Rattus norvegicus: one gene and its partner. The main gene of each other region encodes a partner of the protein of the gene in region 2 in a complex. Links are inferred from orthologs where the notes say so. Each region holds a gene or a part of one and is shown on either strand. Other genes may lie near its edges.

Evidence for each region. Proteins that work in one complex are often made in the same cells at the same time.
Region 1: Cdhr5 (region 2) and Anks4b share a complex: the UniProt entries of both Homo sapiens proteins name them as parts of the IMAC/intermicrovillar adhesion complex. The link is inferred for Rattus norvegicus from reciprocal best matches to the Homo sapiens genes CDHR5 and ANKS4B.

What each region holds. Positions count from the first base shown.
Region 1 is NC_086019.1:183,977,450-183,981,601, reverse strand, and holds the start of Anks4b (ankyrin repeat and SAM domain-containing protein 4B), read right to left. Parts: upstream 2,801-4,152; 5' UTR 2,780-2,800; coding exon 2,616-2,779; intron 1-2,615. UniProt on the Homo sapiens protein: As part of the intermicrovillar adhesion complex/IMAC plays a role in epithelial brush border differentiation, controlling microvilli organization and length. Plays a role in assembly of the complex.
Region 2 is NC_086019.1:205,808,282-205,812,443, reverse strand, and holds the start of Cdhr5 (cadherin-related family member 5 precursor), read left to right. Parts: upstream 1-1,351; 5' UTR 1,352-1,390; coding exon 1,391-1,484; intron 1,485-1,564; coding exon 1,565-1,740; intron 1,741-2,095; coding exon 2,096-2,146; intron 2,147-4,162. UniProt on the Homo sapiens protein: Intermicrovillar adhesion molecule that forms, via its extracellular domain, calcium-dependent heterophilic complexes with CDHR2 on adjacent microvilli. Thereby, controls the packing of microvilli at the apical membrane of epithelial cells.

The DNA.
Region 1 (4,152 bases), about 22 Mb from region 2:
CATAGACATACTTACACACACACATACACACACAGACACATATATACACACATAGACATAGACATACACACACATAGGCATACTTACACACACATAGACATACTTACACACACACACATACACACACAGACACATACACACACAGACACACACACATACACACATACACACACAGACACATACATACACACACACACACACACAGACACACACACACAGACATAGACATACACACACACATTGACATACTTACACACACACATAGACATACTTACACATACACACATACACACACACACACATAGGCATACTTACACACACATAGACATACTTACACACACACACATACACACACAGACACATACATACACACATACACACACACACACATAGGCATACTTACACACACATAGACATACTTACACATACACACATACACATATATACACACATAGACATACTTACACACACACACAGACACACACAGACACATACACACACACATAGACACAGACACACACACTTTTATATAGACATATAAAAGTGGGGCAATGTTACAGACACGCAGCTCACAAAGACGAAAGTGCATGGCAGCTCAGCATTGGCGTTTTCATCCTCACCAGGAACCCCGCCTTCACCATGTAAAGGGGTTCCTTGTCAAAGAAAGGAACTTGCTTTTCCAGAATTTTGTTCGCGTGCATCTTCTCTCTCCTACTATGTGAGGGCTCCGTCCCTGTCCCCCTCACCCCAGATGTGGCAGCAATAAGGAGCCAGCATGGAAAGATCTCTCCCTGCACTGAACTTCTTGCCAACTTGATCTTAGACTTCCTGGCTGCTCTTAAAACTATAGAATAAGTTTTATCCTCTGTAAATTACTTTGCCCGAGGCATTTTGTGATCATAGCACAAGTGCAGGCAACTGACCCAAAAACTTCAGTTCTGAGAATTTACACTCGGGGAAAAAAATATGGACAAGGACTTATGTGGAGGAATAATCACCACAACACTGCAAACTAGAAAAAAAGAATTATGTATCAAACAGGGGGATAAACTAAGAAATAAATTTGCTGATTATAATATTAAGGTATCCTTATAAATTAAATTAAGTGTGTTATGTATTTAATTGCTATAACAAAATTGAGACATTAACTCAAAAGAAGAAAGACCTATCTTGAATAAAGTTTCAGAAGATTTGGTATAGAGAGTAGGCGTGCTCTTTCTGACATGTTCCCCAACTCAATGAGGTGTCCATATCTACAATCTGTTTAATCCAAACAGATGTTGACCCTCCTCCTCCTTTACTTGCCACATCCAATCACTATCTGACATCCAAACTGTCACTCAAAGCTCCGTGTCTACTCACACCCAGTGATACCATGTTAGTTCACTTTTACCTTGAACGTCCCTAGACATTCTCTGTGACTAATGTACAATCGCCAGAACGATATTCATAAGCATAAATCTATGTGACTGCTTCCTCTGTAAATAGAGGGTGTGGTTTCTAGGCTCTCAGGAGGAGATTCAAGTCCTGAACAGAAGTCTCAAGGCCCCTGATAGTCCAGTCTTATGGCTTAGGTCTGTTCCTGTGCAAGTCATGTCCAGCCAAACTCAACGTCTTCTACCCTTGGAATGCACAGTGCTCTCTGCCTTAGGGGGAAAGCACTTCCCTCAGCCTTGATCAGCTCCCCGTCTTTCTCTACTAGCTTAATTTCCCTTCCCTGGAACAGACTTTGTCACATCTACCATAAGCTGCTTGCTTGGCTTCCCCTCTCAGATCTGAGTGCCACAAGAGCACCAGGATGTTTTGTTGATAGGGACCATCTGGACAGCACCAAAAATATATGAGAAGAAAAATCAGAAGAGGAGGGAGTGGAAGAAAGAGAAAGCAGAAGAAGGGGAGAGAAGGGGGAGAGGTGGACTGTCACCTACCAGATGCTAAATATGCACTGTACTGGAGTCATTTGACTCCCTTACTCTTTACCTCTCCCTCTTCCCCCCACTCTTCTCACTCACCCAAACTCCTCTTTTGCTCCATTTCTCTCCATCTAAGTGTAACTGCCTACCCTGACTAGCTCTCTGGCAATGAGCAGGGTGAGCAGAATAAAAGAGTTAGCAAAGACTGGAATCTAAAGCTAAGGGATGGGGTGTGTGTGTGTGTGTGTGTGTGTGTGTGTGTGTGTGTGTAAAGATGGACTGAAGACTCATGTTATAGATGGCAAAGCCAGAAGAACCAGGAGTTTACATCAAGGCTGAGTACTTGTAAAGATAGATTTTAGTGACAAGATTGGAAAAGTAAAATAAAGCCATGTCCTAACCAAGGAAGATCACTGAACCAATAAGCATGGTGACCTCCTTTTAAAGAGTTAACCATTTAAATTCAATGGAGGTGATTTTCAGGGCATATAGTTACAATCCACACCCTACCCACCTCTGCCTGAGTGACTTCTAAATGGCTGTTTCACAGGGAAAGAAACCATACCTAGCTTAGTCTTTCTTTCTCTAAAAGCCAACTACTTAGAGGACCTACAAAGAAGCAAAATGTCTATGTGGACATCTCTGTCTCTCACTGCCAGAGTGGCATTCCCCACCCAGGATGCCCTAACAGGGATCACTCACCCTCTACTGCAGATTATTTCTAGGGCCTCAAGGTTGCCGTGGTAGGCTGCCAGGAGAGTGGGTGTCATGCCATCCTCATCTGAGAGATTTAGATCACGCTTAGTGGCCTCCTTCAGAAGTTCCAGGTAGCTGTCACTTGCTGCTTGGTGATAGCGGGTAGACATTTTTCTGCCCACCAGAGCTTGTCCAGGTGTCTTTGTCTAGGCAGTGCTGGTCACACAAGTCTTCCAACGGGGCTGGTTAATCAGTGACAGGGAGTATTACTCCAGGCCAAAGCTCACTTCACCCTCGCTTCTTGGAAGGCATCCAGAAGGCCTACAGTCCTGGACTTGGACCTTTACTTTTAAGACCAACCATAACAATGAACATTGAGGCCTCTGGTGTCTCTCATGCATGTGATGAAGCACATTTAATCTTTACTGTGCCCATTAACAAGTGTCAGATGTGATACTGACCACCTAGGTACAGAATATGGGAAATAATCAAAAAACTCAAAACTGGTTAAGTTCACTGGTATGGGAGAAGGAGTGTTTTAGTAGATTTTTACAGGTATAGTCTGTACAAGTTGAATTTAACCATTTGAAATATAAAATCAAAGATCTGGGTAAATTCACAGCTGTGAAATCTTTACCATAACAGTGGAGGACAGAAGGCTGATGGCAGGCTGGAAGACAAACAGGTGGTTCTCCAGGAACTCCCACAAAAAAAAATAAAAAAATAAAAAAGTTTGGTCTAGAAAGCTTCACCACTTTCCAGTGTAGAATGATATAAATAAGGAAGGCCAATCTAAACCAAGTATAACCACAGGCTATACCATGTGAACCCAGTATCCTCTGGAAATCAAATATCAGCCAATCAAGGCTACCCTCATTTGCATGGTGGAGATTGCTGTGGACAGCTTCAACAGATCCCATTCATGTACAGCACTATTTCATGTAGGTGGTCTTTTTTTGTCAATGAGTTTATTAAATTCTAGTTTTGTCAGACTGGTAAATTCAAACACATGCCAATTGCCCTCTTGTAAACTCAGTTTTGCAATGTTTTCTCCACACTAAAACCATTCCTCAACCCACTCCAACTCAGACTCTCCCATACCACATAGAAAAATGAATAAATGTAACAACAGAACTTTTAAAAGATATCCTTTGTGTTTGTTAGCAACTAATTCCTACTCCCAACCCTAGGAAACCATGAATCAATTTTCTCTCTATATAGCTGCAATTGTGAGCACTTTATGTCACTGGAATCCTGTGACATAGTTTTGTGGCCTTTATTTAAAAGGAATATGTTTTGAAGGATTTTTTAAATTGTTGAATAATATTCTTCTATACTAGCATATCAAATACCCTTTATCATTTAATTCTCATACTGGTTGGATGTTTAGGTTGTGTCCATTAAGTTAATGATGAAAAATGTTATTAAGAACAGTCACATAGATGTTCCTGTGTAAACATATATTTTTACATCTCTTGGGCATATAGCAAGGTGTGGAATTTCTGGGTTTTGTTGTAATTTCTATTTAGCTTTAAGGAATTGC
Region 2 (4,162 bases):
AGACCCTGGTCTTTTAGCTCATGGTGTGTGATATCTGATAAAATCAAGGCAGTCTCTGCTCCGTGAACCTGGCAGGCTTGGACGGATCCATCCATCTCATTCAGTGACTAGGACCACACCCAGTTGTTGCCCTTTGAACCTGGAAAGCCAGCTAGGGCATTTTTTATCTCTGACATCAGCTGAACCCCTCTTTTCCTAGCTGAATTCCCTAGAGTCCAACCCTGCCCTGTGGTTCATTTAGCAAAATCTCCAGGGATCAAGGATCCCCACCCTGGCCTAGCCATGTGGTCAGGGTAAATGAAGTGGTGAGGAGGAGGCTCAGGCAGGAGTGGGAGGACCTGAGTTCATCCTATGTGGTCATGGCCCAGCCATGAGGCCTGGCCGGTGATGTCATCTCTCAGTGGGCGGCTGTGGTGAGACAGTGCCCAGTTCTGACAGAGAGAGGCCTGGAGCTTTGGGAAGGTTTTCAGACATCTAAAGCAAAAGACCCAGAGTAATGAGGGAGGGCTATGTAGGCCCTTTCAACAGAACACCCCCTACCATTCTCCTGGCCCCACTTAGGGGCTTCCTCTCATCTCTGAGAGCTTGTAGGGCAGAGGAGAGGAAGCAAGAGAGGAGGAAGCAGGTCTAATGGAGGGCTGGGTTGTGTCCTCTGGGATTCTTGTCTTCCATCAGATACTGGCTCCCCAAACCCCAGCTCCTCCAGTGGTTGAAAGGTTCTATTTGCATCTTACCACCCACCAAGGCTCTGCCAGGCCCTACCCTGGGGGCACTGCTGTGTTTCTCAGACAGCAGGAGCAGCTGACTGGGACACAGCCTTGTCCTTTGGGAGTGGAAGAGGGAAGGCAGGTAACATAACAGAGCTCCAGTGATTTTCTAAAATAAACATTGAAGAGAAAGAGAGGAGATGAGGGTCACAGTGGACCCAAGACCAATGGCTCAGCCCGCATCCCTGTTCTTGCTCCCAGTTCCCCAGCCCTGCCCCAGCTCCCCAGACCTATGGCTCCATCCCCGAGTCCTGCTTCAGCCCCCAACCCTGACTCAGCCTCCTTAGGTCTATGGCTCCAGAGCCTTGCCCTGGCTTCCCACGCCTATTCTCCACTCCTGGTTCTCAAGATTTTTTACACCTTATGTGTGGTGCCTGTAAGTTGAGTCCTCAGCTAACTTCCTGGAAGTCCAAGCTGCAATATGACCTCATGTCCCCTGTTAGTGCCGGCCGGCCAGCGGGATCCCCCTTGGTAGAGGCCATCTGTAAAGGATCATAAAATGAGGCGGTGCCTGGCAGGGGCGAAGGTCGCCAAGGCAGGAATTGTACCAGCCCTGGAGCAGGAATTGTACCAGCCCTGGAACCAAGCCGGCCGGACCCTTCTTCCAGGTGACAGCTGCCACCATGGGGGCTCCGGCCCTCCTGTGGCCTCCCCTGCTGTTGCCATTGCTCACGGTGCTGTTTGGCCACCTTCCAGGGACCTTGGCCCAGGCTCAGGGTAGGTACTGAACATGGGCAGGATGGGTGGGTGGCAGAGCTGGGCTGGGAGGAACCAACTTCTCCTTTGCAACTTTCTAGTCTGCTCTGCGAACCAGACCGTGTTTACAATGAACGAGAACACCACTGTTTCTGGGCCACTGGCGGACATTTTTGTCCCAGAAGACCAGTATGTGACCTTGGGACAGTTGTCCACCCCTAATGCCTTTAAGGTTGAGGGCAATAAGCTGTTTCTCATCGTGACTCCAGATTATGAGGTACAGACTGTAGACCGAATAGAATATGCCTTCATGGGGACACAAATGGGCATCCACTCCCCTAACCTGGGAAAGATTCAGGGAAAGAGGGACTGAAGGGATCTATATGCTCCTGGCAGTGAGGAGCCCTTTCAGGCCCAGTGGTTGGTTAGATGGTTGGTTGGTTGGTTGGTTGGTACTGAGGGGTAGGGCCATAAGGGGACAAAGTTGCCAAATGTCCCCTATACCCAGGATTTCCCACAGATGACTGGGGCGCTGGAGCGCTCCCTGCTCTCCTAGCTGTACTCTCCTATCCTATAGGAGGATAGTTCCCTATGTGGCAAGTGACTCATAGGGCCCCTGGCTTTATCCTCAGGAAAACTCTTTGCTGGAGGCAGTCCTGGAGTGTAAGAGAGGAGATACTTTGGTAAGTTAACCCCATTACCTGACCACCTGGGCCTTTTGTCAGAGTACCCCAAGACCACTCCTCCAAGACCTTACCCCCAGGGAGTCTGAACATCAACTCTCTCCTAGCCACTTCCATGATTCTTTTAGCCTAGATTCTGCCCTGAGCTCCAGACTCAAACTCAGCTAACGTAGAGCCCAGTATTAAGTCAGTACCTTGAGACCCTAAGTAGGCCCCTCACCCCTCACCTGGGAGACACCTTCACCTGCCAGCCACTTCTGATGTCACCCCATCCAAGGAACACTGTTGGCACGGTTGACTGTACCTCAGTTAGAGTCGGATTTACTCTTCCTACCTCTAGTCCGTCCCATGGGGCCCTGGCCAGTGGCTCTCCTTTCTGACCCTTCTTGCACATCCACTTGCTGTTCTTGTCCTTGGCCCTCCTCTATTCCCTCTCTACACAGGGAATCCCGAAAGCTCATAGCCACAACCCCATGCAGCCTCACAGAAACTTCCACATTTTCTTACTGGAAGTCAAAGTCAAATGCACAAGTGGGTGGGCAAGGCTGTGGTATGCAGACACTGACCTGGTGTGCAAATTCATTTTGATGCCTAACCCTCCTACTTTATACTGTCCCCTACCCTATCCCATACATCTTATCCTCCATCAATAGCCTTTTACTAAAGGACACTAGAAGAAGTAACAGGCCCCACACACTTCCTGCTTCACTGTGAGCAACTCTCACACCCTGCACTCCTGCCGGGCACCACGACATGTTACCCACACACATCTTGGCCTATGTCTCTAATAGATCATAATAATTAAAAACAAAACGAAATTCTTTTTTGGGTAAAGTTTAGTGTTAGACTTCTGTCTTAATCAGGGTTTCTATTCCTGCACCAATATTATGACCAAGAAGCAAGTTGGTGAGGAAAGGGTTATTCAGCTTACACTTCCACATTGCTGTTCATCACCAAAGGAAGTCAGGACAGGAACTCAAGTAGGTCAGGAAGAAGGAGCTGATGCAGAGGCCATGGAGGGATATTAGTTACTGGCTTTCTTTTTTTTCTTAAGATTTATTTATTTATTATGTATGAGTACACTGTAGCTGTCTTCAGACACACCAGAAGAGAGAGGGCATCAGATCCCATTACAGATGGTTGTGAGCCACCATGTGGTTGCTGGGAATTGAACTCAGGATCTCTGGAAGAGCAGTCAGCGCTCTTAACCACTGAGCCATCCCTCCAGCCCCATTGGGTTGCTTTCTTATAGAACCCAGGACCACTATCCCAGGGACAACACCATCCACAATGGGCTGGGCCCTCCCCTCTTGATCACTAGTTGAGAAAATGCCTTACAGCTGGATCTCATGGAGGCGTTTCCTCAACTGAGGCTCCTTTCTCTGTGATAACTCCAGCTTGTGTGAGGTTGACACACAAAACCAGCCAGGACAAATACCTGCCTAGTATGATTGAAGCCCTGTGCTCCACCTTCAACACACAAATATACTTCCCACACAGACACACAGACACACAAGAGACAGAGAGAGACAGAGACAGAAACAGAAAGACACAGACAGAGAGAGACAGAGAGACAGAGAAAGAGACAGAGACACAGAGAGACAGAGAGGCACAGAGAGAGCCCTGGCCTTGACATCTGTCACAGCTGAGAAGAGCAGCTTTCCGTCTCTGTCCTCCAGCACCTGGCTGTGTTCATGTCTCCCTGGGTCTCAGGAAGGGCTGTCATGGGAATGAGCTGTTTGCTTTCGACCTGAAGGCCCTTTTCCCACTATCCTTTTGGAGACCTGTTTTTGAAGTCGTGAGATGCTGTTTTTCTCCCTTTGATATTTTGCTGGTTGTGCCCCCAGGATTGTCATTCTCTCTCTTCAGCGCACCCACCACATGCACGTGGCCACACTCTAAAACTTGTCTTTACAGTTTGAGTGCATTCCTCCTAGAACAGGAGCTCCTAGGCCATCACATTGTTGATGCCACCAGTGTCTGTGGAATGAAAGACAAAGAATGACTGACTAACTG